4 linked regions of the Diceros bicornis minor genome follow. The protein of the gene in region 4 interacts with the protein of the main gene of each other region in a pairwise test. Links are inferred from orthologs where the notes say so. Each region holds a gene or a part of one and is shown on either strand. Other genes may lie near its edges.

Region 1 (6,513 bases), on a different chromosome or scaffold from region 4:
TTGGGTGAACCCTTCCTTTCCCCAAGTCTGGGTTCCGTTGTCTGAAGTGGGTGCAATGGCAGAACACAGATAAACAAAACAGCCTGATGCTATTCCAAGGAGGAAGAAGGAGGTTCTGCCTGTCTCATGTAATCCACCAAGGGACATTCATTGAACATCACTGTGTTCCAGGCAAGGCCGTTAGGTCTCTGCAGGGCAGGTCTGTGCAGCCACAAAGGGCAGAGTGGGAACCCGTGTAGGGGAGCTACAAGAGGGCAAACTTAGGAACAATAGGAAAAGCGCTTTTCTCACTGTCTGAGCTGCTCCGATGCAGACTGGGTCATATTGGGGGCGGGGATAAGTTCTTTGCCATTGAGCAAAGAGGCCTGGAGAACTTTTTCTGGCTCAGGCAAGGGTTTAATGCAAAGGCACCTCCCACAAAAGTCCCCATTCTGGAACTCTAGAGCACCAAGCGAGAATCACAGAGCTCTGGACTACACATTTGTGGGGCTCAACTCCACGGCCTCACAGGGTCTACTCGTGCTGAGCAAAATGCTGAGCCCATGCTGCTGCCTGTCCACTGTCCAGGCTGGGAGAGGCTGATCATAAGGAAATGGCTTCAGCTAGGCCCAAAGGCTGATTAGAGCTGCGTCAGCCCAGGAGAGAAGAAAGGATATTAGGGGTGGAGAAAACAGCTAAGCAAATAGGTGAGGTAGGTCCTGGCTGTGAGAAGCCCAGCTTGGAAGGAGTATGTAGTTGTGAGGGGAGCAGTGAGAGGTAAGGCTAGACAGGTGGACACCGTGACACCAGATTCTAGAGGATTCTGAAGTTTGAGGGGGCCCATGGGCATGGCCACCTCTAACCTCTATTGTATGTCTGGGCAAAACCAGGCAAGACATTCCCTGGGAACTGAGGAAACAGAAGAAAGGCTAGCCCTGTGAGGCCGTTGAGCCCCACAGGCATGGCTTGGCAAGTAGTGTCCCAGCTGGATTTCAGCCACCTCGGCTCTGCCCCTGGCTCTGACTATGGGGAGAGAGAGGACATACTGAAGGTTCCAGGAGCACTTCAAAAGAAGGAACAATGGGACTTGGTGGCAAGTTGGACCTAGGGAGAGGGGAAAACTGAAGGTAACCAAGATCACATTTTCCCCCTGGGACGAGGGAGGGAAGGAAGGGGGGATGGAGAGAGAAGGACCACCACAGGTTGAGGGGGAATCTGGTTGTAGATGTGCTGCGTCAGAGGTGCTGGTGGGTCGCACAGAAGGGTGGCTATTTCCTGGGTGTCAGACACTATGGCCTAGAGCTCAAGCAAGATAGTCCCACTAAAGCCAAGAGGGAGATCAGAGCCGTGGTTTTCCCGGAAGGCAGGTGGGAGTGGGGAAGGTCTATACTCGACAAGAGTAGCCATGATTTGGAGAGAGTGGTCCAGGCAGGTGGCATGGATTCAGCCTGGTGCTCATCTAGATCTTCCACTGGCCTGCTGTGTAACTCAGAGCCAGTTTTCTCCTCTCTCTGGGTTCCAGTTTTCACTGAAATAAGGAGATGATATTAAAGCACACTGCCAGCTTTGCCTTGCCAATCTAAGAACAGTAGAGGGAATGAGGAGAAATGAAGGGGGAGGCATAGTCCTTGGTGGGCCTGGGACCAAATGGGGCTGGGAAGAGGTATGGCCCCAGGAAAGAGGGAATTGTGGGAAGGCAGCACCGAGCAGGGAGGAGAAAAGGGGCAGAAGGTGAGAGCCACACAGATACCGTGACACACACACACAGGCTGTGCACGCTGACAGATCTGCAGTCTCATACATTGACAGGTTCCTCCCACACACACTCAGCTCCTTACACAGACACTCAGGCACATCCCACAGGAGACAGCGGAAGAGACTTTGCCTCCCCCGTCAGACACCTCCACCTATGGGTTCTCTAGCTTTCTTGACTATACCCTGAGCCTTCAGTGTCCTTTGGACTTGGGGAGGGGCAGCTGGAGATGGAGCCTGCCTCCTTCTGTCCATGGGTATTCTAGAGGCATCCTGGACTCTGACTCTAGTGCAACTATTCTGGACCCCACAGTTCCAGGTCCCTAAAGATGGCATGCCTTCCCTTCCTGGGCTTCTCCTGGGGGCATATAGGATTCCTCATCCTCTGGGGGTGGTATTCCTCATCCTCTGGCGGTGGTAGGTAGAAGAGGATATTGCCACCCCTACTTCTCCTTGATTTTCCTTAGGGAAGAAGCAGAGAAATCTCAGGCCCAGAGATATCCTGTAACTAGCTTGAGGTCACACAGCAAGAGAGGGGGCATGGAACAGACCAATCTCCCATCTGGTTGTTTAGGGCACCCCCAGAAGTAAGGATTAGAAGCCACACTGGCCTGGGGTGGGCTGTGGAAGTGGAATTCTTTCTGCTAGCCTGAGGACTTCCTTTTCCAGAGTATCTTCATGACAGGCTACCCTGGGGTTGGAGTCTGGCCCCCTCCCAAAGAGACTCTAGGCAGGTCAGAGTCACCTCCCAGGCCATGTCCTGGGAAACTCAGGCTCTGGAGGGACATTCCTCCCATGGAAGTCAGACAGGAGCGTCCACCCAGGCTTCAGCGCTTGATGGGGCATCATCCCAGCCAGGCTTCCTGTGGAAGACCAGCACCTCCCTCTGCAAACACTTCCCCTGGCACAGGCCACTTGAGGGGCTCATGTTCCAGCTGGGGACTGACCCTTCGTCCTCCCCAAACCTACTTCTCAGCAACACCACCTCCATCCATTCAGCCCCAAATCTTAGCGTCTGCCTCAACTCCTCTGTCCTCTCATCCCCACATCCAGTCAGTCACCAAGTCCTGCCAATGCCCCCTCCTAACATCTCTCAGTCCATCCCCATCTCTCCACAACCCCTACGCTAGCGTCATCACCTCTCACCTGAACTATGCAGCAGGCCCCTCTCTGCTCTCCCTACCTCCCCTCACTAGGTCATCTTGCACACAGTAGCCAAAGGAAAAATTTTAAAACGCATTCCTTCTCTCTGGGTCCCCAGTACCTAGTTCATGACCTGACATACGGTAAGCATTCTGTAAGTGTTTGTGGAATGAACGCTATCTTCCTACCCCTTGCTTTAAAACCCTAGGAGCTTCTGTCCCCATCAGTGGTACATGGCCTAGCACACAGTCAGCCTCAATAAATGCTCAGGGAATGAACTAACGAAAAGCAGAGTGTAATCAGTCATCAATGCTACCAGCTAGGATTTCTATTTGTACAGAGGAAGGAGGGAGAGAACCTTCCTGCTGGGGTGGCCTGGAACGCCTTGAGGAAGAACTTGGGAGATGTGTCCCCGTTGCCAGGGGGCCACAATGAGGACCCGCCTTGGGTCCCAGGTAGGAGAGGAGCCTGCAGAGGTGGGTGGGGGCTGAGTGTGAAAGCTCTGAAGAGTAAGGAAAAGATTAGGACTCTATTCTGTGGCCAAGGGGAGCTATGGAAGGTGTAAACAGGACAGGAGAGGATAAAGATTGTAGCATGCAGCCCCGACCACTGAGGAGGAGGAGAGCTGAGACCTGGAAGGCTAGAGATCCTAGGTGCCAGGAGAGGAAGCCTGCTGTGAGGGGAGGGAAGGGGCCTGCTGTGGGTGCAGGGTGCTGTGAGGGGAAGGGACCCTGCTGTGGAGAGAGCAGGCCCCGTTATGGGGGAGTGTAACCAGGGGAAGGGATCCCCACTTAGGTGTAGGGGAGAGGGGCCGGGAGGGGAGGTAGGAGCTCCTGTGGGAAGGGGTATTGGGGAGGATGGAGCCCAGCTGTAGGAAGGTACATGTCCTTGGGTGTGGTGGTGAGAGGAAGGGGACCCACCCTACTGTGGAAGGAGGGATCCCAGCTGTGGGAATGTGGGGTTTGTTATGGGAGGGAGCTGTTGTGGAGAAAGGGAACTCTGTCCTCAGGGACTTGGGCGACTGCTGCTGAGGTGAGGGCCTTGCCCCAGACCAAGTTGAGGGAACCCCCTGTCCCCCAGGCCCCGCCATGGGGAAGACCAACAGCAAGCTGGCCCCAGAGGTGCTGGAGGACCTGGTTCAGAACACGGAGTTCAGTGAACAGGAGCTGAAGCAGTGGTACAAGGGCTTCCTGAAGGACTGCCCCAGCGGCATCCTCAACCTGGAGGAGTTCCAGCAGCTCTACATCAAGGTGGGCGGGCGGGGGCGGGGCCAGGCAAGCCCAGGGGCGGGCCGGACGGGCGGGGGCGGGGCCAGGCAACTCGAGGGGGCGGGCCGGACTAGCGGGGGAGGGCCGGGAAGACACCGCTACCGCTGCGTCCCAACCCTGCCGTCCCCGCCTCAGTTCTTCCCTTACGGCGATGCCTCCAAGTTTGCGCAGCACGCTTTCCGCACCTTCGACAAGAACGGCGATGGCACCATCGACTTCCGGGAGTTCATCTGCGCCCTTTCGGTCACCTCCCGCGGCAGCTTCGAGCAGAAACTCAACTGGGCCTTTGAGATGTACGACCTGGACGGCGACGGGCGCATCACGCGCCTCGAGATGCTGGAGATCATCGAGGTGCGCTGGGGCGGATCCAAGAGGCCAGGTTGGGCTGGGGCCGGCGCCCTTGTCTTCGCTGCCCACTCTCCAGCACGCTCCTCAGGAGCCTCCTCTTGCACCCCACTTCTCCCCCCATCCCGCCTCCTAGGATTGGTTGGGCGCTCAGTGTGAAACAGGCTTTGTGCTAAATGCTTTACCCAATAACCCTATGGGAGGTAGGTACTGTCAGAAACCCCATTTTACAGAGGAGGAAACAGAGCAAGTGGTGATTCGTGATTCAAATCCAGGGAGTCTGACTCCAGAGCCTAAGTTCTCAACTCATTACTCTTCCAGCAAATGTGTACTGAGTGCCTGCCACATGCCAGGCACTGTTCAAAGTTCCTGCTTTCATGGGACATTTCTTCTAGTGAGAAAATTTAAAAACAACAACAAAAAAACTATGATATGTCAGGCAGTAAGCATCATGAAGAAGATAAGCAAAGTAAGGGGAGAGAAAGCGATGGACGAAAAGTGATTTTATATAAGGTGAAATGTGAGCAGCACCCTGAGTAAGGTGAGGGAGCTAACCACGTAGATGTCTGGCGGAAGAGTGTTCTATGCACAGGGAACAATAAATGTGAAGACCCTGAGGTTACATTGTGTTTGCAGTGTTCAAGGAGTAGCCAGAAGGCCAGGGTGGTAGGAGAGAAGTGAGAAGGGGATAGTGGTAGGAAGGTGATCAGCTAAGTAGCCAGGAGCCCAGTCATTTAGCATCTCATAGTCTGAGACTTGGACTTTATTCTGAGTGAGATGGGAAGCCACTAAGGGCTCTCTCTATTCTCTGTGTGGAGAATAGACCAAGGGGCTAGGAGGGCAGCAGAAGCAGGGAGACCAGTTAGGAGACTGGTCCACAGCAGTCCAGTCAGGGGCCGATGGAGGTGACAACCGTGGAGGAGCTGTGGAAGTGGTCGGAAGTGGTTGGGACCTATTGCAAAATTAGGGCTGACAAGATCTGCTGAAGGATTGGATGTGATGTGAGAGAAGGAGAGTCAAGAATGGCATCAGGGTTTTTGGTCTGAACAACTAGAAGAATGAATTTGCTATTTACTGAGACAGGGAATGCTGGAGGAGGAGCAGGTTGGAAGTGAAGAGTTGGGTTTTAGATATGTTTAATGTGAGATGCTCATTAAATATCCAGTCTTAATGACCATACATCACCTTCCGGTATCCTCACCATCTCCCAGTGTTCTCCCTGCCCACCCCCCCAGGCCCTTTCATTCACCCCTGATCCTCCCTGCCCCCTGTGAGTGTTCACACCTCCCTCCTTGCCCCACCAGGCTATATACAAGATGGTGGGCACCGTGATCATGATGCGCATGAACCAGGATGGGCTCACACCCCAGCAGCGTGTGGACAAGATCTTCAAGAAAATGGACCAGGATAAGGATGACCAGATTACGCTGGAGGAGTTCAAGGAGGCGGCCAAGAGTGACCCATCCATTGTGCTGCTGCTGCAGTGTGACATGCAGAAGTAGAGGCTGGTGAGGGGCAGGGCCTCTGGCCAGGAGGGGTGTGGCCACCTCCCAACCTGATGACCTCTCTAGCTGGCCCTTCCCCAGGGGGAGGGGTACTCCAGCCTCACTCTCTGGCTCACCCAACCCTCTGCCCAAGCCCTTGCTCCCCTCAATCAAGGTCCTTGAGGGACCACCTCACCCTGGAAAAGAGACAGATCCTCAGGTATCCTGTTGTCTAGCCCCATCCCCAGTCTTGGCCCAGAACCAAGACCCACTGGGCATAGGGGAGTTGGCTTTTGCCCCAAGAGGCAGGGTTTAGGAGGGGGGCTGAGGTTCTGCTTTGAAATTCTGTTCTTCCTGGGGTTATGCTTTATAGGATTGGTCCTATAGACCTCAGTTAAAGGGCCAAATTGGGTCTGTTCTTTGCTGAGGACCCAGATCCCTTAAAGGTGGTCTCTGCCCTGCTCCCTTGACTCTACCTGGCCCCTCTGGCCCCAGCCTTTGGAGCATTTATTCAGTCCTTTCTTCAGCTAACGTTTATTGAG
Region 2 (7,231 bases), on a different chromosome or scaffold from region 4:
GTGAAAACATTAAACATGATGTCATTTTTAAAGTGCCAGAGTTTCTATTTAAAGCAATGCCACAAAATAGATAGCTTATTTAGTTTACAAATAGCAACACAAAAAGGTTCTTCAAGTCTGCTTAGCATACCCGAAAGTGCTTCTTTCTCACACTTAAATATTTAAGACTATTTCCCCCCTCCCCTTAGTTTATTATCTTATCTCAGTTGTATAATTTTCTTAAGTAGGATTCAGAGAAATAGTCCTAGATTTAAATTTTTAAACACTAATTTATAAAAGCATTGGTTGATTCCCATAATACAGCTGGTAGTCAAACTGGACAAGATAATGAATTGACTGAGATCATTGTTCCATCTTCATCCAAGAAATCTGCCTCTAAAAAAAGATCTTAAATTGCTGTAGAAATCCAATTTGTAAGAAGCAAAAGAAGCATATAGATGGGAAACACCAGCCATGATCACATTAATTTTGTGACTAACAGCATTGCTTTGAAGTGAAGAAGAAGAAGAAAAAAGAAACGATGACAAAAATAATAAGTCCACACACATCCTCAATTTTAATCTAACAACACAAACGGAAGAAAACCAACCACAAATACAAAGTTCACATCTTTGGGATCCAGCAAACATCACACTCCCACAAAATAATTTTCAGCTTAATAAGCAGCAAACTCCAATGCGAAGGAAATACAATAGGATGGTGATGCATTGTCACTAAAAAGCAAATTATGGTAAGAAATCAGGAGACCAGGAACTTGATATTAGCACAAAGAGTCATGGAAAGTCCATGATTGATTCGTTTTGAATCTACAGGTGTGGGAAACTGACAAATAGTTGTAACAAAAATCTTCAACTTACTATATTTGAAAAGCTATACAGGAAAAGTCTGACAAGCTACCATTCCTTTAGCCACCTATTCAAATAAAAGCTGCAACATTACAGAGATAGAAATAAAGGCATTGTTTCCACATTTTTGTGGGAATGTTCTAATAAACCATCTGCTCATGTATAAACTATATAAGGTCACAACTGACTTCCAATTGACAGGCAATTTAAGATATCAGCAATTTACATTAAAAACAGTTGGCTTGAATTGAGCAAATATGTTTAAGTAAAGTTGAAAAATAAAAATTGCTATGAATCAGTCGGGATTTAAAAATAATGGATCTATATAAAACGCTACAAGCAAAGGAAAATGAAAAAATTTATAGGGAGGCACAAGTAAGTTCATCCATTGTTTTCTTTCTAAGTTTTAAAACTCAAGTAATAGCTGATATTGATTCAATAACATCCTTCCTCGGGGGAATACACATCTAGGTTTGGAAGTGGAGAATGGGGTTTTTTTGTTTGATTTTTAATTTTTAGGTTTCTTTTTAAGAATGCCTTCCTTACTAAAACTTAAGTACTTATTGAAGTGATTCATGAAAGCTCGTAGAAAAAGGAATTCTTACCTGACACATTATTTAACATGCTTCGTAGCTCCCCCACTGCCGTTCACATGCTCATGAACCTTATTTTACCAGGGAAATAATGGTCTTATTCACACACACACACAGACAACCTTCCACACAAAATGCTACCAAATCCCAGGAAACTGACAAAAGCAACATTAAGATTCAGTGCAAAATAAGAATTCCATTTCCAAATCGCATCTATGAAAATACAAGATTGGTCTCATTTAACCAGTTGTAAAGTTCCCTTTCTGCTTAATAAGAGTAGTAAACATCATCTTACCATTATCTGTAGAAAAAAATCAGCAACGTGTTGCTTCCTGCAGTCACCAAATCAAGTTTTTTCTTCCTTTCTTTCTAGTAACTCCTTTTTCACCAGCAAGATGAGGAAGAAAATAAATCTTTGAGTATTTGCCTCAGGATTTCAGACCACAAGCTTATGAAACTAGCTCTTAGTAAAAAAAAGAACAGATCTGGTATTTTACAATCACTTCTGCAACCCAAAGGTACCTCTTAGACTCCTGTCCCTCCTTTCCTCCCTCGCTCCCTAAGTTTCTTTTAGTAATGAGACTAATTTTTCCAGTAGCCTTGAACACCCTAGATTTAACTGACATGGAAAATGTGACTAAAAACTTGTAGAACCGTCTAGCCTCCAACCCTACACAGAATCAACTTTGTTGTAAGTGTTGAAGAACACCTCGCAAGCAGCTACTTGCTCCGTCAGACTCCTGCACCACACAGCACAGCACACCAAATAACAGTGCGCCATCTAGTTAGCAAGTTGCACTCTCCATTCTAGAAGGGGGGACACCTTCAAACCCTGGGAGTTAAGAACTTGTCAGGGTTCAGCTGCTCTAAAGGTCCAATTGTTTATTTAAATAAAAAAAAAATATCGCTACTGAGATAATCCACATCTAGTGGATATGGGAAAATTTAGGTTATAATGGCACTACAAACTTTTACATCTAACTTTGATTTACAAGATAAAAGCAAGTTTTAAATTAAAAGGGCTTTCTCTTAATAGAGCTTATTATTCTGAAGACGGGAATGATTTTCTTCGAAAGTTGTCCCTGGGTGCATGCCTATTATCTTTGCTTTTCCCCTTCCACTAATGAGCATTTATCTAAAGAGCCTGTTAATCCTCTGATGTGTGCTTCTGGTCAGAGGTAACAGTTTGAATAAAACCACTAATCACTGATCACTAAATCACTGATCATTAATCACACTCTCCAGTGCCGGGGACCCGGGCCATTTTTTCCTCTAGGTCTGTGCATCACAAACAAGATGTTTCACATTTTAGATGCACATGGATTGTGTGGGGTTATAGTATTTCACCTCTAGATGTTAGTAAATAGTAAATACTGCCACAAACTTGGGGAAGGAGGTCAATTAGACCCCAGGCAGGAGTTTCACAAATGCCTACTCTACAGCACAGCTTTCATTTTGAAGAAAGTAGATCTGATTATAACAAGACATGTGTTCATCAAGAAATTCCCACATACTCAGAACATAAATTTTCCTTTATTTAGCTTTCACTAACTCCAAATCAGAAAGCACCCAAATCTTCTGACCCCCCTCCATCCAAAACCCTGTTAGTAAATTTTTTATTTGATTTCTGCTGCACACTCACCCCCACTACTAAGATTTCTTTTTATTTTTATCCCTTAAATATGTTACACAGTGTTGTTATTTCAACTGCCAGATACGCAGATTCTGACTCAATTCAGTGACTTATGTATTTAACATCCTCTTTAAATACAGAAACTTAAGGTTAAGAGAAAGAAAGTAACACACGCACCAATTTATTGTATGGTACTTTGAGTTCAAACACTCACATTCCCTCACTTTGGAAATGAAACGTTTAATCTTGATCCTTTCAGCTAAATTTGATTTAGTCAGCATCCTCCCTTCGTCTTCCCTCCTCGGCTAAACGGTTGGAGGAAGGCGCTCTATAGAATTAAGCACTTTGTTTGCAGTGGGTGTGTCGTTTTCCTAAGTCACCACAGGGACACAGTATCATCATAACGTCTCTAAACATTTCCTAAGATGCCTTTTCTATCAGGGCTGAGCATTTTCGCCCTAGAGAAGAGGGCTTGCTGGTGCCTTCCTTAAATAATAGAACAGGGCAGATTGTGTGTGCGCTGATCAGGTACTGTGCTCCCCTCAGACGCCAGAAGCTCTTACCCACACTCCAGGGACAGTGATCGCCCCAGGGAAAGCAGTAAAAGGGGAAGGCGGGGCCAGAGTGATAACGGTGCGGGCGGGAGAGGGAGTGGAGAAGGAGGGGTCCGGGAGGAGAGGGCAATAAAGATGCCCAGGGAACAGGCAATTGTACGAGTATGTTGGGGGCTGGGGATGGAAAGCAGAGTTGCTTTGTCAGCATTTCTAAGCCCCCGAACCCTTGAGTATCTGAAGCTGTTAATCAAACACTTACTGGCCTGCAGAATGACGTAATGGACCTGTATCCAGCCTTTATTCCTTGACACATGTCAGAGAGGGAGGGAAAAATAAAAATCAAGCACACTCTGCGGACTCCGACAACGAAACATACAAGCACCCACTCCAGTGCCTGGCCTTGAACAAGCATCAAGTGAGTGCAGTACCCGTTCAAGAAAAGTTGGGGAGGAGGTGGGCAAGGTCTGGGGCTTTATCTACCAGATACACCCCCCTTCCCGCCCCCGGAAATAAATCTATGGCAAAGAAGAAGCGGGATGCAGATGCCGAGAAAAAACATCTCCTTGGTTCCTTCGCACGTCTTGCCGCTCTGAGAACTTCGCGAAAAGTTTAAGCGGTTCCGTGGAGAACCTGCCAGAGAGGAAGGCTCCAGCCGCCGGCTCCTGGAAACTGCCACCGCGCCGCCGCGGCAAAAGCGAGAGCTGTCATTTGAGGCAGCGGCGGGGAAGAGGTAATGATGCCAGCGAGAACCGGACGGAGGCAGGAGGCGGCTGGAGGAGTGAACGCGAGTAGAGCCTCGCCACTTTCGAGCCTTCCGCGCCTGGAGCGAAAGCCAAGTGCCGTTCAAGGGCGACGTCCCCTTCCCGGGCGCGCGCGCCCACCAGCTGCGGCGGGCAGCCCTGCGGGAGAGGTGGCAGCAGCAGGCTCGACACCCGGCAGGGAGCGAGCCCCCCGCGCGCCCGCTCGCCCGCCCCCTAGGTGACCCGGCGTCTTCGCCGCGCCGGCTGCAAGTTTGCGAACTTTCTCCGGGGTTCCGCCGCATCACCGGGAAGTTGGGGACGCGAGGGGAGGTTCTTGGCTCGCCGTCTGCGCTGCCGCCGCCACTGCCGCCGCTTGACCGCACTTCTGGAGGGTTCCGCACCTTGCCAGGTCTCTGGAGGCAAACACACCCCCCCGATTCATAACTGTTCCCCGTGTCAGGGAAACACACGCGCGCTCCCACACACGCACGGACGCCGGGGCGGACACGGCGCTCGCTCCACGTTAGCATCCTTCCAGTCGCACGGCGCGGCGGCCACCGAGACGCGCTCCGGGACAGACACGGCGTGGGGTCTCTGGGGTGGCCTCAGGACACAGCAGAATTCCACAGTCCACCAGCATTGGGGGCCGGACTTCCCTCTGGTCCGCCAAGTGTTTACAAACACAGATCACCCTCCAAAAAAAAATGTATCGCATCTTCCCTACTCCTTGCCCTGTGACCTGCCCACTGGACCAAGTAACCTCGCGACTGCTGCCGACAACCAACCCCTGCAAACAAGTACGCTCCCGAGATGGCTCCCGCGGCAAGTGCAACAAAAGTGGCTAAATGCAAAAGCCCCAGAAGTGGCCGAGCCGTATTTTTAGGAACTTACCAAACAAGTGTGGAGAAGGCAACAGCGGAGCCCGGGTGAAGGGACCACGTTGGACTGAGCAAAGATTACAATACATTCTATTTAGAGTGCATTACATCACCCCCCCGGTGACGTCACGTGGGATTCCTGAACTTCTAAATCATTGCGGTCCGCGGGGGAGGGAAGGAGGGAGGGGCGGGGCCGGCGCGCCGAGGGGGCGGGCCCCGCCCCGGCCCCGCCCCACAAGCGGACCCCGGTGCACCGCCGGCGAGCGGCGGCGGCGGCTGGGATCGCGCAAGCAACAGCTTGCAGAGCCCAGCGCCGTGTGACACGGCTCCCTGACATTAGTGGTGTGAGTCAGCTTGGAAACAATCCTCATGGTTTCAGACAGGACCACAGAGGAGGCACGGACACGGGCTTTCCTGTGAACAGGGCCTGGCAGCGTGTGAAAGGTGTGGGGATGAGTGCTAGGGAAGAGGTGGGGAGGGGGATGCTGAAGGGTGCGGGAAGACACTTTCTGCAAACAAATGCAGGACGCTCCCCCCTTCCCCCACCAGCAGATGTCCAGCTCCTTTTTGCCTGCGACAGCCGTGACCTCATTACAGTGTTCCCTGCATCCTGGCTTCTCAGAGCACTCACTCGACACCCCTTTTCACCGGCCCCCACCCCAAAGGCATAACTTCACCTCCAAAGGCATGACTTCTTTACTGTGCACACTCACATGGAATACACGGCCCCCACCCTTTCCAAGACCCCTGCTCCGTGCGTCTGAGAAGCTGGAGGGAGAGTTGCTCCTGGAGGCGCAAGGTGAATCACAGCTAGAGCCAAGTGGTGAGCCGGATTTAGAGTCCGCGTCAGAGCCGGAAGGGCCCTTGGCGATCACTTCCAGAGCCTAGTCTGTAACTCGCCCAAGCTCACAGGCTGGCAAGTGGCAGAGCCAGAGCCAGAATTCAGGATCCGGGCGCCTGGTCTGCAGTATCTTCCTGACAGCTCCGTGAGAGAAGGAACCTGGCTTTTTCAGCATCTTGGCCAGCCACCATCACCATCCCCAGCTTAAGCTAATTTCCATTCAGATGTTCTCCCTATGAGTAGGATTCAAAGGGAAGGCATGGGCTAAATTCCAGCCGAACCTAGACGAGCACTGTCATCCTTGCAGCAGCTCACACTTTACAAAGCACTCGCACCCATGCGAACTCCCTTAATTCTCACAACCCAGCACAACAAGGAGAAGTAGGGCGCAAGTTATAATGATCCCCATTTTACAGGTGAGCTAAGGCAGACTCCAGAATGTTAGGGGGCTGGCCTGAAGTCACTGGAGCAAGTGGTGGCACTGGCACCACCCCAACCCCTGTTTTCAAATCCCAAATCCCAACTGGGCCGCTTTCTAGAACCAAGGGTGAGCATTCCCTTCTCATGGGTTATTGGTGGTTAGAACCTCTGCTAAGGACATGTTGGCTGGGAGTTGGAGCTTTGCTTAGGAACAGTTTAGCCCCCATTGACAAACAATAATCATTGCTGACATTTATGTAACATCTGACATTTATATAGCACCTCTCCTCCCAATGCATCATAACCATGACTGTGCAGTTTGCCAGAGAAGCATGACTGGACTGGCTAGAAACTGTAATGCTTCTGGACTGTCACATACTTCTGAGCTGGTTTTGACATACTAAATGGAAGAGCTTTGTATTTCCTTTCTGTTTTTAGGTGTTTAAACAACTCCCTTTCCTTAAGTCTTCCTTGAGACCACAGGGGCTGACAACTGTTCATTTCTCACAGCCTTATTCAGAACTTATCACTGAGTTTTCTATTTGTTCTTTTCCACATGTAGCCCTGAAGGAACTGCAAAAGAAGGGCTCCAGTCCTAACTTGAATCTTACCCAATAAAACTTTAAATATGACAGGTCAATTACCTAGGTTTATGGAAGGAAGCAACGGGCCTCCTTGCCCACATTCCCACTCGAGGACCAGGGCAGCCTTTCCCACCTAAAGCAGG
Region 3 (7,818 bases), on a different chromosome or scaffold from region 4:
TCTTGGGGATTTAAGGAATTGTTGAAGAGCCAGTACTTAGGCTTGAAAGCTATATTTTTCTTGGTGGTTGACTGTCCTTTCTTTTCTGTCTTCTTGGCCTGTAAGCTGAATGGCAGTCTCATTTGTGGTGCTGGCTTTCAAAAGCAAGTAAATAGACACAATATCTTAAAACACATACAGCTAGTGTGACCCAGTGCTATCCTGATAAGCCAGCTGTGGGGGCAGGAGTGCGGAGGGCAGAAATCCTCATTTGTAGCATTTGTCTATTTCTGTTGTGTAAATACTTCCATGGCTCACAAAATTCCTGACTACTTAACCATCAGTTCTCATGACTCCAGCACACCACTAATGACCTCAAGGTTGGTGCCTGTCACCTTCGGCTGCCTGCCTGTTAGAAGGATCTTCCTAGCGAACTGCACTTCATTCTGGTTGCCACTTGACAAGAGACCTAGAGAATGTGTTACAGGCTGCAAGATGAACTACAAAGCTGAAGAAATGATCAGCTGCTGGGGCCTGGGTAAGCAGGCAGGAGAGAGCCTCCTCTTTACTTGCTCTTGTGGTGTTGGCAGCTCTGTAGCCAACAGGGGGCTAGCAAACATGGTCTCCTCTATCCTGAGCTAGTTTTTTTTCTTCACTCATTCTTACGGAATTGCAGACAAGGCAGTTGCCTGAACATGCAGGAAGGAAAGCTATTTTCTTCTTTCTTTAGAATGCCTTGCCTTGGCCCAAACCAAGGATGTTTTGAGGCCTAACTGAATGCAGCAAACCTCTGCCTCCTATCAAGGCTACTGGTTACTTGAGCTTTCCTCCACGTTCTACAAAAGTTGCAGGACCGGGTGTGATGGGTGCAGTAGTGGTAGCCTGGCTGGTAGAAGTAGACATGATGATGATGAAAATATTACTCCCCTCTGATCATGGCTCTGTGCTTATGGACATTTTGGGTAATGTTCTAGGAGAAAATCAGTATACAATAAATCCTTCTAGTTTTCAGATGAATCGAAGATGAGCTGAGAAATGCCAAGGGCATAGGGAGAAAGTACAAGGAGGGTCTCTGGGAGATGCATGAGGGTTGGAAGGCTGGTGTTGCCTTTCACAGTGGATAAGAATAAGGTAAGGAATTCAGGGCGAAATAGTCCAAGCTATACATGCAAAAATATTGGCTTATGTTCTTCTAAGTTAAAACTCAGGAGGAGAGTTCTGGAGATGGGGCCCTGCACTCTCAAATGAGAAAAACCTGGCCCTATGTATTAGTTTCCTCTGGGTGCTGTAACAAATTACCACAAATGTGGTGGCTTAAGACAACACAAATTTGTTATCCTACAGTTCTGGAGTTCAGAAGTCTGGGATGGGTCTCAAGGAGCTGAAATCAAGGTGTTGGCTCTGCTGTTTTCCTCTCTGGAGGCTCTAGGGGAGAATCTGTTTCCTTGCCTTTTCCCGCTGCTAGAAGCCACCCACGTCTCTTGACCCTGGGATCCCTTCCTCCATCTTCAGACCAGCAATGCTGCATCTCTCTCTGACTGTTTTCTGTAGCTCATATCTCCTTCTGCCTCTTCTTCTGCCCACCTTCTACTTTTAAGGACCCTTGTGATTGAGTTGGCCCACCAGGATAATTTAGGATAATCTCCCTATTTAAGGCCAATGGATCAGCAATCTTAATTCCATCTGTTTCCTTAATTCCCCTTTGACATGTAGGGTAACATATTCATAGGTCCTGGGGATTAGGACGTGGCTATCTTTGAGGGGCCATTATTGTGCCTAATGAACATATTCTGGACTCCAATCCAGCATCGTCAGAGCTGTGTAGCCTTAGGCAAGTTGTTAACCTTTTCAAAATTCTCATTTAGTGGTGGGCTAATAGTAGTACCTTCTCGTGGGCTTTTGGTTAAGATTAGATGGGCTTCGAAGGACACCACCAAGAAAATGAAAAGACAGCCCATAGAATGGGAGGAAATATTGGCAAATTATATATCTGATAAGGGACTTACATCTAGAATATATAAAGATCTCTTACACCTGAATAATAAAAAGACAATCCAGTTATAAAATGGGTAAAAGATCTGAGGAGACATTTCTCCAAAGGAGATAAGCACATGAAAAGATGATCAACATCATTAGCCATTAGGAAAAGGCAAATCAAAACCACAATGAAATACCACTTCACCTCCACTAGGATGATATAACTTAAAAAATAGCAAATAACAAGTGTTGGCAAGGATGTGGACAAATTGTAACCCCCATACACTGCTGGTGAGAAGTAAAAGGGTGCAGCTGCTTTGGAAAACAGTCAGGCATTTCCTCAAAATGTTAAGCAGAGTTACCATGTGACCCAGCAATTGCACTCCTAGATATACATCCAAGAGAAATAAAAACATACATCCACACAAAAACCTATACGCGAATGTTCATAGCAGCACAATTCATAAGAGCCCCAAAGTGGAAACAACCAAAATGTCCATCAACTGATAAATGGACAAACAAAATATGATATATCCATACCATGGGATGTTGTTTGTTCATGAAAAGGAATGAAGTGCTGATGACACGGATGAGCCTTGAAAACATTACGCTAAGTGAAAGAAACCAGTCACAAAAGACTTCAGATTGTATGAAGACTTCATTTACATGAAATGCCCAGAATAGGCAAATCTATACAGATAGAATGTAGATTAGTGGTTGCTAGGGGCTAGAGGTTGGGAGAAGGAAAGGAATGAATGCTAATAGGTATGACATTTCTTTTTGGGGTGAAATCAGTTGTAAAATTGACTGTGGTGATAGTTGTACAACTCTGAATATACTAAAAACATTAAATTGTATATGTACTTTAAAATGGGTGAATTGTATACTATATGAATTATATCTCAATAAAGCTTTTTTTGAAAAGCAGCGATCATTAAAGCAAAATTAAAAAATAGATAAAGTGGGTTTTTAAATCACTCTCTCACAGAGACACCCCTACCCCAAGCACCGCCACCTTCCTGTTACTGCCCTCCACCCATGGTTCTTCCTGCAGAGTCTGTAGGCAATGACCAACCCTAAACTGTCCTGACCACAGTTTACAAACTGATAAGCTAGGGATCCCTTGTGGCCTACAAACTCTTCTTTCTTAGCCTATAGAGTATTTAAAATATTTTTAAATTAGTTACTAACATTTTAAAATTAGAAGAGTTCACATTAAATGTGGGTTTTTGGCTTCTCTAGGGGAAAAACAAACAAAATCAAAACAAAATGAAAAAAATCCCACTTGATGGCCTCACTGGACCTTCATTTCCCATGTGGAAAAATGAGACTGCCCTTTTTAGGGCATGATGCCCTTCCCAGTTTGCCCAGCTTTAGTCACTTCTTTTTAATCCCTTAGGGACATTTGAGTTTGCAACACCTGCTCAGACCTTTCCCTGCATCAGAACTTCCTTGTTCAGCATCCCATTGCCTCTGGACCTGTTTGATGATTGACCAATCCCTGGGTTTTCAACCCTGGCTGCACGTCAGGATCTCCTGGGCCAATGTACAAAATCCCCATGCAAGGCTGCACCCCTGACTAGTTGAATCAGAATCTTGGGGAAAGGCGGGGGGATAGGCCTAGTATTAAAAAACAAAACGAAACCCCAATTCCCGAGGTGATTCCAAACTGTATCCAGGGAGGCTAACCACTGCTCTAATCTACTAATCCAATTCAAGAGAAAGTTTTAGTATCCAAAAATGGTTTCATGGCCTTCCACATAACGTTTGTTTTTCATGCTTTGCCCGAAGGAGTAATTGATGTGGAAATTGAAGGCAGAACTAAGAGGATAGTTTCGGTCAGGTGAACCTTTTACTTGATTTTCAAATTAGAGTCGATGGCTGTTTGGACCTAATTGTAACTGTCATTTCTATAACTAGTCATAGTAAAAGATTTTGTAATCACTATATCAAGCATGGACAGGTCATGGTGCCTTTTAGCTTTACTTGGTGACTTTTTATTATTTTTAACCAGCAAGTTTTTTAATCAATGAATTTGAGTTGCTATTGAGACATTCTGTGGTTTCTGGAAATGCCGCTGGGCTTGACAAGCACAAGAAGTTACAGTGGCTTTTTGAAAGGTCTTGAGTGGCCAACACAGCAAGACAGGAACACGTGCTGGCAGCCACTCGATAAATATTGGTTGAATGAATTGACAAGACATTTGCTTCTCATCATCTCCAGCTGAGATGGAGAATTTGGTGACATTCTGTAGTGGAGGCAGAGGGTGTGTGTGTGTCCCCTCCTCAGATGTCCTCCTACAGAGTTTTTTGTTAAGCCATCCCTAGACGATTCACAGAAGGCTCTAGGTAGAGAAAACGCTGGGTTAGGCAAGAGCAGCCCCCTCCCACCTCGTGGGTATGTCTTTCCAAGGCTCTCTGGAACTTCACTTCGGCATGGTAGGGACCCCAGGCTCCCCCTAATCGAAGCCTAGAAGAAGGTGCTGTAGGCTGAATCTGACCTCCCCACGACCGGAGAGGAAAACAGCACCCCTTGGAAAGTACCAGTGCAGACTGGCTAGAAGTCTGGGCGGTGGGCTAGGATTAGGGGGCCCAATGGGGATAAGCCTGGGGGCTGCACCCAAAGCATCCACTGCACCTGCAACCCCCCCACCTCAGCTTGCCCCCCTGCACCCCGGCCGTCCAGCCCACCGGGGAGAGGCTGCCTGCGGGGCCGCAGTGGGGAGGAGGGTCGGCGGCCGGAGGGGAGAGGCGGCGAGCGAGGCTGGGGAGGGGGGCGCGGCAGGCGGCGGTGCTGTCCAGGGGGAGGCGGGCGGAGGGAAGGCGCTGCTGCCGCCGCTGCCGCCGCCTCACCCGCGGCGACACAGACGCCGGGAGCGGCCGAGGCGGTGAGTCGCAGCGCCTTCCCTCCGTTTCTCCGGAGCCAGAGCGGAGTCGGAGTTGCAGCCGGGCGGGCGTGCTGGGGGCGGTGGTGCCGGGAGCGGCTGCTGGGGGGACCGGCGCGCCCCGGGGCGGCGGGCGCAGGGGTGGGCGCGAGGAGCGCGCGGTTCTGGGGACCTCGTCCTTGCAGCCGCTCCCGGGTGCAGCTCACCCTGTCAATTCCCCTGTCCTTCCCTCAATGCCTCTGAGGGAAAAGAAAACAAAACCAAAGACCCTGAGAGTGGGCGGCAGAAAAGGAGAGAGCAACTTTGTAGAGGGACGCGCAGAGGCGCGCGGGGCAGACAGGATGGGGGCGCGCTGGGTCGGAAGGGGGCGTTCGTGTGCCTGGTGGCCCGGGACCTCTGTAGCATCCCTCCCAGGGGTGAGGGGTGAGGTGGGGGATTGGGGTCGAGGGCACTCGCTGGTTCCCGGGCCTGCCAAGTCTGCCCTGAGGGGCTGCAGGAGGAGTGTGCGAGGGGTGGGCGCCTGGGCAGGGGGCTTTGGGAGCGACTGGAAGGCGCTAGTAGAACGCAGAGGAGGAAGTGGGCTGCATTCTGGACTCAGGACCTGAAAGATTTGTATCTCTTGCCCTGGGGGACTCGGGAAGGGGTGTGCTGGGGAGATGTGTCTGAGTGTTTTTCAGTGCATACCGATTTATTTTTAGCTCCCAGAGAAGCAGGATGTGCAAAGTGGGTTGTATCAACCCGGGAGGGGCAGGAGGTCTCCCTGTCTGCAGGAAATACACAAGTTTCTTGCTGCAGATGCTTGCTTTAACTTTCATGTCCGAAGAAAGAAAGCCATTTGGCTCTCTGAAGGTCTCCTGGCCAGGGCCATTTTCTTCCCGCGGGTCTGTCTGAGGCTGCAGGCCAAGCGGAGTGCGCTTCTGTTGTTCAACGCTGGCCCCAAATGATGGTACACGTTCTGTTCCGTAGGGCGACAAGGGTGGGAACACAGAAGGAGGGTTGCCAAGGTCTCATTTGCTGAGGAGGAAACCACCCAAGCTTGCTCAAAGTTTTCCCAGTTCTGACTGATTTGAAAATAACAGATCTAAGCAGCTGTGTTACCAAAAGCAGCCTTAGCGGTCGGTGTTTCTCAGACCTAATTGGCAATGCTTGTGAGGTTTTTCACTCCAATGGGGAGATGCCTGTGTTTTAGGGTCAAATGCAGGATGCAAGGACTGCAAAGGAGAAAGGGGTAGGGGTGTGATGGTGAGAGTGTGGGTTTATGGGGGGGGCTGGTTGGGGGCTAAGTACAGACTTGGGGATGGGGCTTCCTTCAGAGGAGGAGGCTCAAGAAGCTGAAACCCAAATGTTCCCGTACCCAAGCCAAGACCCCTGGACGTTGCCCTGGTGTTCCCCCATTTCAACCACTCGGCCCAGTCCTGAATACCCACCCTCTATAAGCGTGCCAGGAGAGTGGGCTGTGAGAGCAGGGCTCTGCCGCCAGACTGCTGGATTTGAGTTCTGGCCGGGACACGAATAGCTCCCAGACCCTGGGCTCCTTACTTAACCTCTCTGTGTTTCCTGATCTGTGGCACGAGATTGATAATAGGTACCAAACCTATCTCAGGCTTGTTGCGAAGGTTAAGTGAATTAATACACAGAAAGCGCTTCCCACAGTGCTTTGTCGTTGGTAAGTGCTGCAGACGTGTGAGCTCTTGTTATTCTGCTGTTGCTGTTGTGTGCTTCCTTCTCTCAGCCCCTGTTGTCTGTCGCTGATTTGGTTCACAACCTCATCACTTCTTGCCTGAATTGCTCCAATTGCCTCACACTGGGCTCTTTGGTCCCCATTAGGACACTCTTGCTCCAGTCTGTTCTCCAAGCTACAACTAGAACGCTCATTTTGCAACCAAAAATCTAAGCCAGGCTTTCTGCCTAATTTCCCTCAGAGGTTTCCTGTGGCTTTCAGGATAGAGTTCGGACCCTTGTCTCCTCGCCAGCCTCATCTCCCAAGCGTCCGCCTGTGTAGCCTCCGCTCAAGCCACCGAATCTCAGCACCTGTCATCTTCCCACCCTTCCTTGTCTGGTCAGCTCCTATGCCTTCTTCCCCGCTCAGCTGCAGCAGCACTGCCTGCCGGCAGACCTCGTGGCACCCCCTCCTCCCGAGCTGACTGAGCTGCCCTTGCTTCATGCTGGTACATCACCCTGCACACTCTGTCATCACTCCGCATCGTCATCTCCATATCAGTCTTCCCTGCTGCACGTGCCTTGAGGGATGAATTGTGATTACCAGTAATTGTTTGTTGAATGAATTAATGAACATCAGTCAAGCAAAGTTCAGTCCTTTTCACTAAAGTCAGAAACCAACATGGAGAATAATAGAGAGGAGGACCAAACCAATCTTTATATAGACTATTCTACAATAACAAACTTGGGGAAATGTAAGAAACCAAAGGTTGCTCAAAAGAAATGTGGCATACTATCTTGGAACCATTTCAGAGATTTTTTTTTAATTGTAGGGGGTTAGACTAACAGTGGAGAAAGGCAGTGGTCTGACCTCTTTCCTCACTTCCCTCATAAAAAGGTTGGACATCTCAGATTTGACTGTGGGGCATGAAGGTCCAAATCTATAAGGGGTCGTGCAGTGAATTTGGTTCTGGAGGCAGAGGTGAAGGTCGCCACATGCCTGGGCTCTGTAGCTCTTCCTTGGATTGGAGTGTGGATTTCAGCTTGCCCTGGGATTGGTACGATGAGATAGGAACTCTCCCGTCATCAAAGCTCCTCTGTTACTTTTCACACAGCTCAGTGTATTCTGTGGGTGTACTTCTGACTGAGGCTCCCAGGAGCCCTGCAGAGGTAGATAAAATGGTGCCAGCTTCTCCAGGACAGCCTCAGAGTCTGATATCAAGGCTCTAGGGCAGGGGGTTTGTACAGCTGAGAGATCAAAAATGCTTTTTACATTTTTGAAGGGTTGTAAGTAAAACAAATCAAAACACAAAGAAGAA
Region 4 (7,479 bases):
ATTTAGTAATTCCCTGAGAGGCAGAGCTCATTAGCCAAGAGACTGGTTACACTAAAAAAAAAAAAAAAAAAAAAAAAAGAAAGCTCATTCATTAAACAAAGTACAGCATGAAAATAGAGTCCCCTTTGATCTAGGCACATATTAACTACAGTTTCAAAATACAAAATTGTAATAACATCTGCTAAGGGGTAATGATAAGAGTAAGTCTAGAAATGGAAATGTGTACATGTATTTTACATACTGTTAGAACCTCAAATGTTGGCATGGCTGTCTCCTCTTTGGGCTTTTCAAGTATATAGATATCTGCTGAGAGCATAATAGTACAAGGGATGGTGTATGTGAAATGCTGAACTGCAGTAGTTTTCCAGTTGCAATAGGAAGCCAGAGGGGCCTCCAAACTTCCATCACAGTGTCAGTCCATCCAGCTTCATTTTTATACATACACAAGGCCTTAGCAAACATTTCACTTAAAAGTGTTTAAAACCACTGTGACGAGAACACCAAAAAATGAAACGCAGCCTCTGCCTTCACGCCACTTAAAATTTAACTGGGAAAATAAACATAAACTCATAAAAAGTGGATTAGCAAAAAAAAAAAAAAAGAGAGAGAGAGAGAGAATTATCAATATAAGCATAAAACAATAAAGGCAAAAAGAATTTGAGAAGACAAATTCTGAGTTCCTAAGAAAGACAGTCACAACAGACTGAGTGGTCTGGAAAGAGGGAGAAAGCCTTGAATTGGAGCGCTACATGCCATCTGCCAGTGCCTCCACGAGGACAGGCCACCTTTGCTGTCCTGGTGAACCCTGATCTGACACCTACCTGGAACCCAGAACCCACTGGTACCATCTTAACTTTGACGATGTCCTATATTGGCTATTACTTGGCGGTTGTGCTGTTGGCCCAGGGATGCTTTCGATAATTAATCATTTACAACAGGTTGTTAAGTGGCTGTGGCTCATTCCTAAAGCTGAGGACAATAGTACTGAGAGCCACTTGCGAGCACCAGCTATGGTGACCAGCCTCCTTCTCACAGACCTACCTGAGGAAACGCAACCGAGCAAATACAAGTGTCTCCTGCCCTCCTGACCCCTGACATGGCCACGGAATCCTTCTCAACTACTGCTCATTGGTAGCTATACCAATTGAATGGAGTTGAAACTTAAAGTAAAACTGTGAACTATATGTACCTTCTCACATAGCTTTTCAAGTCTTATTGGATCCACCTTCCCTAGCTGAACCAGCCCTCTGGCCTTGACCAGTATCTACCTTAGCCTATGATATACCTTGGGCCACCCTTTTCCATGTTCTTCTGGAGCAGAGGTTTCAGTTAGGGATGTGTTTGGGGATGGGATGACACAAGCGGTTGCAAGGAAAGGAGGAGAAGGCTATGAAGGCCTAGAAGGACTCAGTACCTGGCATACTTCTGGAAAAGTAGGTTTGTCAGCACAATACAGATCTGCTGATCACAATCTCTGGACTGGGGCCTAGGAATCTGCATTAAAGGGGTACTTGCCGTGTACTTAAAAAAACCTTTTTATTATGGAAAATTTCAAATAGATACAATAGTAAAGAGAATGTGCTTATCACCAATCCACAACCAATCTTGTTTCATCTATATCCCTACCCACATCCCCCCACTCCTCACTCCACTGGATTATTTTGAAGAAAATATTTCAGTATGTATTTCTGAAAGATAAGGACTTTAAAAAACACAACTACAACACCAATACTTAAAAAAAATTCCTTATTATCATCAACATCTAATTAGTTTTTGTTTCCCCAATTATCTCAAATTTTAAAATATTTGTTCAAATCAGGATCCAAATAAGATCTCACACATTGCATTAGGCTGCTATGTCTCTTGTACCTCTTAAGGTCCAAACACTGGAATAGACCAGGGGAGGCCTCTTGTGTTTAGGGCAGTTGCTGATAGAAAGTCAGACTAGAAGCCCCCTGGGCTCTGATTCTCATCGTAGGACCATTTCTGATGTTTTCAGAGTAGAAGACTCAGTGCTCAGGCCAGACCAAGACAGTTTTTTACAAACTTGGTAAGATCTTCAACAACTGGATGAGATGAGAGAGCTACAGATGCACCTTAAGAAGGGCACACAGGTGTCCTGAGAACGGCATGGGGAATGGTTTGGTGACTGTGTCCGGGTCATGGGATTGGGAACAATCTAAAAAGCATTAATTCGGGGTATTGATCATATCTTGCCCCTTTAGGTAAGCAATGTGTGCGAAAGTGACCAGCACAGTGTCTTCCACATGACAGCCAAGGTGGTTTTCATCTTTTCTCCCAAAGCCTGTAACGGGTCATTTCCCTGATGCATGTGAATCTCAAACTGATGCAAATATTTTCAAAAGAAAAGGAGGCCTTTGCAAGTGACCCAACTTTCCTTGTCCTTACTTAATCATAATGACTCTAAGAATGACCATTTGTTAATGACTTACTGAGGGCTGGGCCATGTGTCTAGCACGAGTGGTACACGGGAGAAAACCACTAGTTATTTGTTGACTGAATGAACAAGGCTACTGAATGCTTTACATTTAAACCTTCAGAGCAACTGCCACCACCCTGTCGCGGCGTTTCTGACTATCTCCATTTTACAAAATCATCGTAAGAGCTAGGACTTATTGAGCTCTTAATCTGTTCTAAGTGCTTCATGTATATTATTACCTCATTAACCAGCACATCAGCTTTATGAATTAGGTACTATTATCCCCATTTTACAAAGGCACAGAGTTTAAGTAATTTGTCTAGAACACACAAATTATGACTGACGGGACTTGACTGAAATCTGAGCAGCCAGAGTGATTAGCAGTAGTAATGGAAGGAGAGCAGGCCAGTACCAACACTCCCAGTTATAGGTTCTTCACAGGAACAAGACCAAAAATGCAGGTTCAGAGGTAACAGAGGTAACCTCTGTCTATTGCAGATCCCCTCACCTCTTCCTGTCACCAACTTTGCCCCTTCTTCCCTTTGGGTATGGACAATGCTGCTGGCAAGACACGAAGCAAGAGTTAAATCAAGAAACCTCAGAAATCAACGGGATGGTTTTTGGGGCAGACTGACTGGTTTAGCTCCTTTATTTATTCATCAAACATTTATTAAGCACCTCCTTTGTGCAAAACACTGTTAACGTGCTAGTGTATGCGCTCCCGAGAACAATCCTGAAACTTCCAGGAGACGGACGGCAGAAGGGGAGTGCTGGCTTGTTTGAGAGGTTCTCGCACTTTCTTCTTCCTCAGGAAATGTTCTATCCCTCAAGGTGGCAGGAGCAGCAATCTTCATTCTCAGGACGCACAAACCTGAGAATGAAGAGAAAAGCATTGCGCACAGAGCTAGACTGATACCTAGGGAGATGCGTCAGAAACTTGGGATTCAGTCCCCCAGGCCCGATCATGTATAGGCTGGCTTTCTAGGTAGAGAAAAGATAATAGAATTTACAGAGCCAGGAGCTGAGTCCTCCGGTCGGGCAGACCCCAGACTCCGGCCCGCAACCCCAGCAGGTTTCTGTGCAAAAACCTTTTGAGATGAATGCATACGTTGTCCTCTAACAATGCAAACGTGACAGCTGCCTATTCAGTAATCGTTCCGCCTCCGTTTAGAGCAGTTCGTGCCACAGAGGCATCTTCTGCGCTATAGTTATGCAACCTCACTCGCAGCGGGAGTTATTTCCTGTGCTTCTGGCTGCGCCAGATTCATGTAACACGCCTACCCCGGGCTTCAATGGAAGTCGTTCTCCATTAACAACCACTCTAGCTTTCAGAGATGAATGCCCTGCACCGCATACCCCTGGTGCAGTAAGAATCCAAGGTATTAAAACTCTGTCTCTCTCTAACACACACACACACACATACACACCCCAACACGCACTCCCGCTGTGCCTGCAGCTGGGGGACTGCAGCAATGCAACCAGAGGGACAGCAGGCGGAGCTCTCTTTGTACAGTCCCTCCCTCTAACCCCCACCAACTAAAGATGAACTCATGCCAGTTCCATTCTTTGCTCTGCAAGGAAAACACACATACACACAGACACACGCGCGCGCGCGCGCGGCAGAACAGTGTAGCCTCCAATTTTCTCCTTGAGCACACTGTCATTCTAGCCTCTTCGTCCAAACAACCCGGATATTCTAAAACGAGTAACGGGGAGTAACGCGCCGCAACAATGCAAGCTCCCAAGCAGCTCCCCGTGCAGCTCACACCCCCGCCCCCTTTCGCAGCGTGCCAAGAGTTTGGAGCGCGCGCACGCACACCGAGCACGGTGCTGGCGTATCCCTCCGCCTCCCTCCTCCTCTCCCCGCTCGGTGGCTCGACAACGATTTGGGAAATGAAGGGAGGAGGGAACTACTTTCCTGAAACTTGCTATGCTGCACACGACTTCGAGTTGCAGTGATTCGCCCGGAGGCCGCAGCTTTTAGTTCTCCTACCCACGCGCCCTCACAGCGCGGGCACCCCGCTCAGCAACCCCACCCCGTGCCCGCTCTGGCCCCGGGGGAAGCCGGCGTCCGGGAGAAGTTGCCAGGGACTACTTCGCCGCCTTCTCCCGCGGGCGCCCCCGGTTCGGGCAGCGGCGGCGGCGGCGGAAGGAGCGGGCGGCGTGAGCGCTTCCGCCGCCCCCCTCGCGGCTCCCCTCTGGCGGGCGTGAGGAGCTGGCCCGCCGAGCTCCGTGCTGGTGGGCACGGCTGGAGGGGTCCTGCGGCCGCTCTGCCCGCTCTCCCGCCGCTTCTCGGCACCCTGCGCCGCGGGCGCGCCCGCTCTCCTCCGGCCCGGGTGGGGGCGGTCGGCTCGCCTGCCCCTGCCTCCCGCTCCCCGCCGCCCCCTCCTCCCTGCTCTGGACTCGTCCGGGCTGGAGCGTGTCTGGAGGAATCCGCCGCCGTGAGGCCCCTCGCCGGTTCGGCTCGTTCCTGAGGACCGCCCCGGTCGCCGCCGGGGGCTGAGCGGGCAGCCGGCGGCGAGGCGGGAGATGGTGGGGTGGGCTCCGGCAGGACCGCGCCGCCGCCGCCCGGAGCCTGGGCTCGGCACCCCCCCGCCGGCCCCCACCGAGCGGAGCTCTGCTTCCTCCTCGCCGCATCCCTGAGGGAAGCGCCGCCTCTGCTCCCGGGTTCTCCGCCCGCCCGCCCGCTCCTTCCTGGCCGGACCCCGCCGCGCTCCACCCCAGTGGCCGGAGGAGCCGCTCTCCAGTCAGCCTCGCAGCCCCCCGGCCTTTTTTGCTTTCCACCCACCCTCCTCGCCTCCTCGGATCCCTTGGCTGGGCGCTGAGGCGGGGGAAAAGGCTGGGGTCGCCACGGCGGAGGTTGTTGCCGCCACCCCCCTGCGGGGGTGGCCGGGGTTCCCGGCTGGGGGGGCACCGTTCCGGGTGAGGCATCCACCATGGTGAGGCCCCTGAGCCGCTGCCCCCGCGCCCCCCCGGCCGCCACTGCCTCCTGCCCCCCGGTGCTGCTGCTGCTCCTCCGTCTGCTGTTGCTCCTCCATCTCCAGATCGGATCACGGTGAGGGAAAGATGAGCGAGGAGACGGCGACTTCTGACAACGAGTAAGCGCCTCATTGATCCTGATTGCTAGCCCCCCGCCCCGCTTCTTTCCTCAGCACTCCCCCAGACCCCTGGAGACTTGGGTGCCGGAAAGCTTGCAGCCCTGGAGAGTTCGGTGCATCTTGTTGTGAAGATAACATTTCATTTCTTGAGCCATTTTATTTAATGGCAGCAAACCCACCCCCCACCCCCCGCGTTTAATTGCTTTCTTCTGGGGGAGGGCGTTGAGTGTTGGGGTGGCATGGCAATTGTCTGTCCAGGAGATGGAGCAGTGTGGATGGATGGAGGCGGGGTGGAAATTACCCCTTTGCCTGGAAGACCCCTGGCCTGTCCTTTTTCTCCTTAGCATACCAATCAACATATCCTGAATATCCGTCCTGCTTCCTTTATAGCTATTTCACTTGGAAACTAATGTGTGGGAGCACCTTCTGCAGCAAACTGCTCTTGAATCTTAATTCGATGAGTCAGTGACTCTTAAATACCGATTAAGCCTCCACCCCTTCCCCCCTTTTTTATACTTAGGACCTGTAAGATTCTTGTAAAAAATGGGGCTAGGGAAACATTTTTAGAATTTAATGGCATTGAAGACACCTGGAGTGTGGGAGATGGCGAACTATTATATTTTACCTTCGCGAATACTGGACGTGTCTCTATCAGGAGCATAGAAGAATTTTGAATGCTAATGTTTATCCTTCAGCTATATTGAAACACACCATTTACGTTGGTATAACAGTATTTACATTGCTGAACAAGTTGATGACTTCATTCATTAACTTCTAGAGCATCCCGGTTTAAGCTTTTGTTTATTTGGGCTGTCCTTATGTTTTTCAAACGAAATACTTTGCCTTTTAAATGTTTTGCTTTAACGTAACAGCTGCTTGGGGGAATAATGATGCGGTAACAGTTTTCTATTGAGATGGGATTTAATTCCGTGCAGAATATTAGCATCCTTTTTCTTGTAATTAAGTTCAAGTTTTGTTTATCTTGGTAGGGTTGGAAAGAGTTAAGTGAGTTAGGACTAGTCCTAGGATGCATTCCTTTAAATAAAGTGCATTCCTCAAGTCTGGCCGTTTAGAGAAAACTTGAAAATCCAAAGCCTAGGCCTATTTAACATAAAATAGCTTGAGAAATGCCAAGTAGCGTTTCTCTTGCCCGCCCCCCACGCCCCCCAACACACTCTTCTCATGAGCGGGTGTGGGAGAAGGTAGATTGCTGCAGTGTCAGTGCAGTCTAGAAGCAGAAGTGGCCGCCATGTTCTCTCTCTTTTTGTGAATCGCCCTCATTTGCATAGCACACTCTTCATTCATAAAAAAATAATTAAACATCCATCACCTTGGACATCTTGAAAGAATTTCCCAAGAAAAAAATTCGAAGCTTGACTCTGTCTTCATGTAGATTTTTGAGTTCAGGAAGTAAGGAGAATTCGAAGTTGTAGGTTAAATTCAAAAACATACGCACACACAAACAACTACCCCTGTTCTCAGAATGTTGACACAGTTATGTGGGAAATATCAGTTCGGGGAGGTGCTGGGATCACGTGATTGCCTCCATTCATAAAATACCTGGCTGTCCATTCACAGTGCAGTACACTGTCTCATTGCCTTCCGCAGATTAGACCTACTTTGAGAGAGATCAAGAAGTATCTCAGATAACGCTGAGTTAGGAGAAAAACTGCTAAAAATCCTGAACGGAATGACGATAGTTTTTCCTGGTATCTTTAAAGAAAGTAGCCTGGATCAAAATGTCAAGTTCTGTTGTAGAGATGGGAAAAGATTCGTTACCATATTTAAAGTAAAATATTGAATACCTCCTTTTTGGATGCAGCTAATAGAAAAGCAAATGAGGGAATGTGAATTGACAGGTGTAAAATATATTGTTTCTAAATGGGGTCTTTTTGTAGTACTTGGCATGGACAAATTGAGAGTGCAAGTTTTTGGTGTAGT

The links.
Region 1: the proteins of SPRED1 (region 4) and HPCAL4 interact in binary tests that used the Homo sapiens proteins (3 or more experiments, as listed by UniProt). The link is inferred for Diceros bicornis minor from reciprocal best matches to the Homo sapiens genes SPRED1 and HPCAL4.
Region 2: the proteins of SPRED1 (region 4) and CREB5 interact in binary tests that used the Homo sapiens proteins (3 or more experiments, as listed by UniProt). The link is inferred for Diceros bicornis minor from reciprocal best matches to the Homo sapiens genes SPRED1 and CREB5.
Region 3: the proteins of SPRED1 (region 4) and NCALD interact in binary tests that used the Homo sapiens proteins (3 or more experiments, as listed by UniProt). The link is inferred for Diceros bicornis minor from reciprocal best matches to the Homo sapiens genes SPRED1 and NCALD.

The regions. Positions count from the first base shown.
Region 1 is NC_080752.1:53,347,376-53,353,888, reverse strand, and holds HPCAL4 (hippocalcin-like protein 4), read left to right. Parts: upstream 1-3,954; 5' UTR 3,955-3,962; coding exon 3,963-4,124; intron 4,125-4,277; coding exon 4,278-4,493; intron 4,494-5,791; coding exon 5,792-5,989; 3' UTR 5,990-5,998; downstream 5,999-6,513. UniProt on the Homo sapiens protein: May be involved in the calcium-dependent regulation of rhodopsin phosphorylation.
Region 2 is NC_080742.1:53,088,134-53,095,364, reverse strand, and holds the start of CREB5 (cyclic AMP-responsive element-binding protein 5), read right to left. Parts: upstream 3,020-7,231; 5' UTR 1,737-3,019; coding exon 1,734-1,736; intron 1-1,733. Other genes in the region: uncharacterized protein LOC131399887, read right to left, coding at 4,098-4,778, 5,257-5,310, 5,480-5,702. UniProt on the Homo sapiens protein: Binds to the cAMP response element and activates transcription.
Region 3 is NC_080760.1:20,465,346-20,473,163, reverse strand, and holds the start of NCALD (neurocalcin-delta), read left to right. Parts: upstream 1-4,804; 5' UTR 4,805-4,843; intron 4,844-7,818. UniProt on the Homo sapiens protein: May be involved in the calcium-dependent regulation of rhodopsin phosphorylation. Binds three calcium ions.
Region 4 is NC_080744.1:36,357,343-36,364,821, forward strand, and holds the start of SPRED1 (sprouty-related, EVH1 domain-containing protein 1), read left to right. Parts: upstream 1-4,464; 5' UTR 4,465-5,506; coding exon 5,507-5,538; intron 5,539-7,479. UniProt on the Homo sapiens protein: Tyrosine kinase substrate that inhibits growth-factor-mediated activation of MAP kinase. Negatively regulates hematopoiesis of bone marrow.